Oryctolagus cuniculus: one gene and its partner. The protein of the gene in region 1 interacts with the protein of each later gene in a pairwise test. Links are inferred from orthologs where the notes say so. Each region holds a gene or a part of one and is shown on either strand. Other genes may lie near its edges.

Evidence for each region.
Region 2: the proteins of EEA1 (region 1) and RAB5B interact in binary tests that used the Homo sapiens proteins (3 or more experiments, as listed by UniProt). The link is inferred for Oryctolagus cuniculus from reciprocal best matches to the Homo sapiens genes EEA1 and RAB5B.

The regions. Positions count from the first base shown.
Region 1 is NC_091442.1:96,147,780-96,152,277, forward strand, and holds the start of EEA1 (early endosome antigen 1), read right to left. Parts: upstream 2,871-4,498; 5' UTR 2,856-2,870; coding exon 2,839-2,855; intron 1-2,838. UniProt on the Homo sapiens protein: Binds phospholipid vesicles containing phosphatidylinositol 3-phosphate and participates in endosomal trafficking.
Region 2 is NC_091442.1:58,781,330-58,784,041, reverse strand, and holds part of RAB5B (ras-related protein Rab-5B), read right to left. Parts: intron 1,182-2,712; coding exon 1,030-1,181; intron 794-1,029; coding exon 671-793; intron 115-670; coding exon 21-114; intron 1-20. UniProt on the Homo sapiens protein: The small GTPases Rab are key regulators of intracellular membrane trafficking, from the formation of transport vesicles to their fusion with membranes.

The DNA of each region.
Region 1 (4,498 bases):
TCAAATTGTTCCCCCAAAATGTCTGTACTATTAACAATGTGTGGATTCCTATTTCTCTACATCTTTGTCAACCAATGATTTTTTTAAAAAATTTGTGGATTCAATGTGATAATCTTGTTTTAATTTTCACTCTCATGTATACTAATGAGATTAGATTTTTTTTCTCTTTATTAAACATTATGCATTGGGGTTTAACCTTTGCTAGAGCCACAAAATCCTTTGAGAATCTCCCTCAGAAAAATGCAAGTAGGGGCAGGAGTTATGTTTCAGCAAGTTAAGCCATCACTTGGGACGCCAGCATCCCACACTGGAGTGCTGGTTGGAGTTCCAGCTCCTCTACTCCTGATCTAGCTCCCTGCCAATGCTACTGGAAAGGTGGTGGATAATGGTCTAAGTATTTGCATTCCTGTCACTCACAAGGATGACCCAGATGAAGTTCTGGGCTTCTGGCTTCAGCCTGGCCCAGCCTCAGCTGTTGGGGGTATTTAGGGAATAAACCAGCAGATGGAAGATCTCTTCTTCTCTGTTTCTACCACTCCTTCAAATAAATAAATAATTTTTTTTTAAAAAATGCACAAACCCACATGACACTTTATATATACATTGAGGGGCTTCACAAGGCACCTGAAGACCACCCATAGAACCCTCAAAGCAGACTCTCAAATTCCAGTGAATGTAGGAACCTCTGGAAGCTTAATACAATGCAGATTCCAGGATGTATCTTCCAGGACCCTGACTCAGGGGGTCCTGGGAGGGACTAAAGAGTTCACACAGATAAACATTTTAAACAAAGGCAACCATGAGGATTCCTAGATTCCTAGTAAGAATTCTATTTTGCAGCCGGCGCCGCGGCTCAATAGGCTAATCCTCCACCTAGCGGCACTGGCACACCGGGTTCTAGTCCCGGTCGGGGCGCCGGATTCTGTCCTGGTTGCCCCTCTTCCAGGTCAGCTCTCTGCTGTGGCCCGGGAGTGCAGTGGAGGATGGCCCAACTGCTTGGGCCCTGCATCCCATGGGAGACCAGGAGAAGTACCTGGCTCCTGCCTTCAGATCAGTGCGGTACGCCAGCCGCAGTGCGCCGGCCATGGCGGCCATTGGAGGGTGAACCAACGGCAAAAGGAAGACCTTTCTCTCTGTCTCTCTCACTGTCCACTCTGCCTGTCAAAAAAAGAAAAGAAAAAGAAAGAAAGAAAGAAATAATTCTATTTTGCTTTCTAAAATGTTACCTTCTCCTATAGCCATGAAGTTGAATGTAGAAGACTGCAACTTGCCTTCAACTGTGATAGCTGCTTAGAACCCTGCGGTTACCATTACAGACACACCTGTGCCTCTCACTTCCTGAGCTTGAATAGTCAGGAAGGGGATGAATAAGCAGGATGACAGGTAATTCAAGAAAAACACCATGTAAGAGAAAAAATTAGGAAATTCTAAACTATGCAGAAAAATGCTACATAAAAAGCATCTTCCTAGTAAATACAAACAGCTTGTATTTGGAATGGCTTGCATTTCTAATTTTATTACAGAAGCAAGGTTTTTTTTTTTTTAACTCTGCCAGATAATTTAAAGATTCTCTTGTGAAAAGGAAATAAATTTAGTTTCCTCTCAGATCTAAATCCACAGAAATAACCCTGCTGCAAGATGAAGCAATTGCAATTAAGATTTTTTTTTTTAATTTAAAAATGAAGTACAAAGGAAGCCATAAAACAAAGAAGTTGCAGGGCATTTAGAGAAAGAGTAAGGATGTTGGTATGATGGTGATAATACGGTACACAAATACATTTCTCTCCCCTTCTTTTTCAAGCATGCAGGTGTCAAGAGAGTTAATCCTTGTTTTTGCCTCAGTCACATGCAAATACATTCCTCTCTGAGCCATTCAATGTCCAGCATCCTCTTGAACCCTTGGTGGAATTCAGCTCCATGAATGGCGCCAGGAACAAGCATTAGGATCCGGTTCTCAGGCTTGAGAATGACTCACTGGATAACTTTGGTCCAACAACAATAGAAAAATGACTCAGTTGCTCTGTCTGTAAATCTGGGGCAGTGATACTGGCTGCCTTCCTCTCACAAGACAAGGGAGGGCCAGGCATGCCAGCTCATGGAGGCTTCCAGAATGTGGGCATCACAGGGACAGGAGTGTAAGAAGTCCTGAGTTAATAGGCACTCTGGAAACTGAAGGTGGAAAATATCCCTCCCAAAAAGTTATCCTTAGCAAGATCAGAAGTGCCTGCCTGCCCACTCCTTGGGAGCTTCCAATCTTATCATGAGAATAGCAAGGGAGTGGTGACTCCACCCTTCTGAGCTCCCAGTGTATTGTGAAAACAAATCAGGTATCCCACCCTTGTGATTGTTGAGGAGCTAGCCAGACAGGATAAAGAATTGTAAATCAGGTCTTTTGTTGGTGTTTTCCCCACCTTATTGACAGTCTTGTCCCAAAAATTGTACTTAAAAACCCTAGTGCCATGGGTTCTTTGGGTTCTGCTTCTCTTGCAGCCCTCTTCCATGCCACTGTGGCTGGAGGTCTTTGGCTCTAATAAATCTTGCTTTAAACCTTTAAATCTAGCTTTTATCTTTGTCTGTTTGCTTGGAAATTCTTCCATGTGAGACCAAGAGTCGAGGTAATAATAATTTCTCCGCTGCCATTTTCCCATAGCAGGAGGAGGATCAGACACAGGGCTGGAAGACAATGGAGGGGAAAACCTGGCGAGAACTGAAGGCCCTTGAACCCCACCACAGCAGCGCAGTGCTGGGTGTGCTGCAAACAGCAAAGAAAATCAAATGTAGCCAACTCCTATTCCTGTCATCCTGGAGACGATCTTTTTGTTTTCATGGGTTACTCACAGATTCAGGATAAACATGGTGGCCAGTATGCTTTCTGATGCCCATTATCTTGTTCATTTGGCTGTACAATGCTTCTCATATTCTAGATTTTCAGATTGTAGGTAGAACATGCATTAAAGTCAGAAGTTTGATATACAATATTACAAGTATGTTGATAACATGAATGACACTCTCAATGTTAAACCAGCATTTTTCCAGGACTCAAGCCACATAGAGGAGGATTTGAGGTGTCTGCATGGCCCATGCAGCTCACTACAGCACCTACATCCCAACTGAGAAAATGGGGAAAGGAAGGAGAGAACACATTCCCTTTCAAGGTCACCTCTCTCCCCTTCACAGCCCTTTAGCCTGCATATATTATATGTATTTTTACATCAACTTAGTCACATGGTTTCTACAAGGAAACCTGAGGAATGCATCTTTTCTCTGAGTGGCCAAATGTCCAATCAAAAAATCAGGATTCTCTAAGAAGAGGGAAGCAATGAATATTAGGACAACTACTGTCACTGGAACACTTGTCAGCAAAAATGAAAACAGAAAAAGCAAACAAAAAAGATGCAGATTTCCCAGAATCATTAGAAAAATTCCCAGTAGGGCCTGGCATTGTGGCACAGCAAGTTAAGCCTCTGCCTGCAATGTTAGAATCCCATGTGAGCATCAGTTTCAGTCCTGATTGTTCCACTTCTAATTCAGTTTCCTACAAATGTGTCTGGGAAAGCAGCAGAAGATGGAATAAATACTGGGCCACTATATCCATGTGGGAGACCTGGATGGAATTCCAGCCATCTGTGGAGTGAACCAGTGGATAGAAGATATCTTTGTTTTCCTCTCCACCCCTCCCCCACCTCTGTAATTCTGCCTTTCAAATAAATAAATAAATCTCCAAAAAAATAAAAAGAGGGGCCAGTGCTATGGCGTAGCAGGTAAAGCCACCAACTGCAGTGCCAATATCCCATTTGGGTGCCGGTTAAAGTCCCAGCTGCTCCACTTCCAATACAGCTCCCTGCTAATGTACCTGGGAAGGAGCGGAAGATGGGCCCCTGAATCCACATAGGAGACCCAGAAGAAGCTCCTGGCTCCCAGCTTCAGATGGGCACAGCTCCAGTCGTTGCAGCTATCTAGGGAGTGAATCAGTGGATGGAAGACCTCTCTCTCGCTTTCTCTCTGCCTCTCTGTAACTTTGCCTTTCAAATAAATAAATAAATAAATCTTTAAAAGTAAATAAATAAAAGGAAAAAAATCCCAGTAGACCCAGAAGTAGCTGTCACTCAGCTGGCCTTACAAGCATACAAATCTACCATGCGGATGTTCTTTCAGGGAAAAGACAGTTAACTTCATATATTTGCCTTTTAAACAATTTGTATTTTCATGTATTAATCTCTGATACACTTAAGCCTCCCGTTTTTATATTAAATTTGAGTTTTCTACTGCAGGTAGAATTTTATGTGTTTTGAGCCCTATAACAATAAAATTCCTCTTTAATTAATGTACATATGAGGCAAGAATATGAACGCATTAGGCGTGATCTCAGGGATCTTCCTGCTTACAACTTTGGAAATAAGAATCAAAAGCCAGGCTGCCTGCCCAGGTGAGGAGAGGGAACAAATGAGCAGACAACCTAGATAACAGAGTAAAGATAAAACCATTAAAATCTAAGGAG
Region 2 (2,712 bases), about 37 Mb from region 1:
TGAGGCTGCTCTGACCTTACCTATTGCCAGGAAGAGATCGTTCACGTTCATAGCCGTCTTGGCTGAAGTCTCCATAAACAATAAGCTGTTGTCATCTGCATATGCCTGGGCCTCCTGCAAGGGGTGGGGTGTATTGGTGCTCAGAATGTAAGGTGGGAACAAGTGTTGCCCTTCTGCTCTCTTGTAGCACCAGAGTTAGGCAATATTCTAGGTTCCCTCCCCTTAATTAATGCCCCTTTGTACCAACTGGCCCTGGACCCATAATTTGGTGGTGACTCCCTCAAGATAAACCCATGTCCACTCAGTTCAACAAACAGATGCCAGGAAGCTTAATTACAGGGGAGAGGATAATTTGGTTGGGGATTTTTGGATTCTGACACTTGAACAGTCCTTTACATAAAATTCAGTGGCTCCCTCTTTCCTGTTTTCACACTGGTACCCCCACAGCTTGTTACTTCCCTAACACACTGTGCTCTGGAATTTTCTTCTGACTCTTACAATCCCCTGGTTGTCATCAGTGTTATAGTGTTGTTGTATGTAACTTAATGAGGAACAGAGGAATGAGACAATGAATGTCCTTAGATAAGGTTTTCAGAGAGAGCTGGCTTGGGAAGGAGAGGCCCCAGGTATACAGCAAGTGTGTTAGAGGGGACTCTGCAGGCCATCTTACTTCATACTCCACCATGCGCTTGTTGGCCAGGTCAGCTTTGTTCCCCGCCAGGGCAATAACGATGCTAGGACTGGCCTGCCTCTGTAGTTCCTTTACCCATGTCTTTGCTCGGGCAAATGTTTCCTAGGAAAACAAGAAGAGAATGAGTGTGCTGGAATGACTGCCAGTCCACATCCATAACCTTTAAAACAGTCTCAAAAGTCACCTCTTCTAGGAACCTTCTCTCACTAAAAGTATGGGTCTCTGCTAAGTCATTCCTTCCAACGTTTTTGGCGCTTGGAAGCATAATTTGTACTCGTATTTTGCTATATCAGGAAGCTCTTTTGTCTCGCCCACCTAAGTGTTCTCAGCCCACTTACCTGATTAGTAATGTCATAAACAACAATCGCAGCTTGGGCACCCCTGTAGTACATGGGAGCTAAGCTGTGGTATCGCTCTTGCCCAGCTGTGTCCCAGATCTCAAACTTGACTGTTGTATCATCTAGACAAACAGACTGGGTGAGGAAGGCCGCTACAGATGAGAGAACACAAGGAAAACAGTTGTAAGTGGGAGGACGAATGGAAACACACAAGCCCCCTTCAAAATATCTCTACCCTAAGACCACTGAAGCTACTCAGCTACAGGAAAAGGCCTGGCTTTCTCCTAGAGCCGGATTAAGACTGCCTTTGCCATTTTTTGCTTTATCATGCACAGGCCAGAGAAGGCAAATAGGACTACAGATCAGATCTTTTGATGGGTTTTGTTCCCACCATGTTACTGACTGTCAAGGGTTTGTTGTTTTGTTTTGTTTTCCCCCAAAATTGTGCTTAAAAACCACTAACCCTCCGGGTTTTGCCTCTCTTGGAGCCCACCTACTGGCAACTCTGCCAGGAGGTCTCTGACGTAAATAAATCTTGCTTAAAAAAAAAAAAAAACAAAAAAACCAAAAAAAACCAGACTGCTGCCTTTGCTTAAGTCCTTCTAGTCAGAAGTTTCTCTGGCTGATGAACAGGGGCACATCATAAACTATAAGGAAAAGAGAACTAGTACTTATACCAGTTGTGCCTCTACTAATCAAAACTGGAATAACAAATAATGATGGAGACATCAAGTTTCAGATAAAAGTCTCATCAAGAATTAATTAGAAGGATGGACATAGGAGCAGTGGTTAAAACACCACTTGGAATGCCTGCATCTCATATCTGAGTGCTTGGGTTTGAGTCCCTGGGAAACAGCAGATGACAGCCCAATTTGGGTCCCTGCCACCCAGTGGGAGACCCCAGATTGGATTTCAGGCTCCTGGTTTTGGCTTGGCCCAGCCCCAGATGTTGTAAGCATTTGGAGAGTGAACTAGTGGATGGAAGATCTGTGACTGTATGTCTCTGTTATTCAAATAAAAATGAAAATAAAAATCAAAAGAACTGGGGTTGGCATAGTGGCACAGCGGGTAAAGCCACCATCTGCAATGCTGGCATCCTATATGGGCACCTGGTTGAGTTCCAGCTGTTCTGCTTCTGATCCAGCTCCCTGCTGATGCACCTGGGAAAGCAGAGGAAGATGGCCCAAGTGCTTGGGCCCATGCACCCATGTGGAAGACCCAGAAGAAGCTCCTGCCTGACTTCGGCTGTTGTGGCCATTTGGGGAGTGAACCAGTAGATGGAAGACCTCTCTCTCTCTAACTCTGCCTTCCAGATAAATTAAGTGAATGTTTAAAAAAATCAAAAGAATTGTGTTCAACAGTTAAGCTGCCACTTGGGACACCTGTATCTCATGTATCTTTCTGTTTCTGTGCCTCTCAAATAAAATGAAGGAAAAGAAATGTGGTGTTCCTGGATCTGCAGAGGTTATATGAAAAAGTAACAGCCAAATAATGCTAATGATGGTGGGACTTGCCATCAAATTTCAAAGTTTAATCCTTTCAAATTTAATAATTTTATTCATATTTTAAAAACTTTTCTTAATTTTCATTTATCTTAAAGGCAGAGAGAGACATATAGAGATTTTACCATGTGTTGGGTTACTTCCCAAATGCCTACAACAGCCAAGGCTGGGTTAGGCAGAA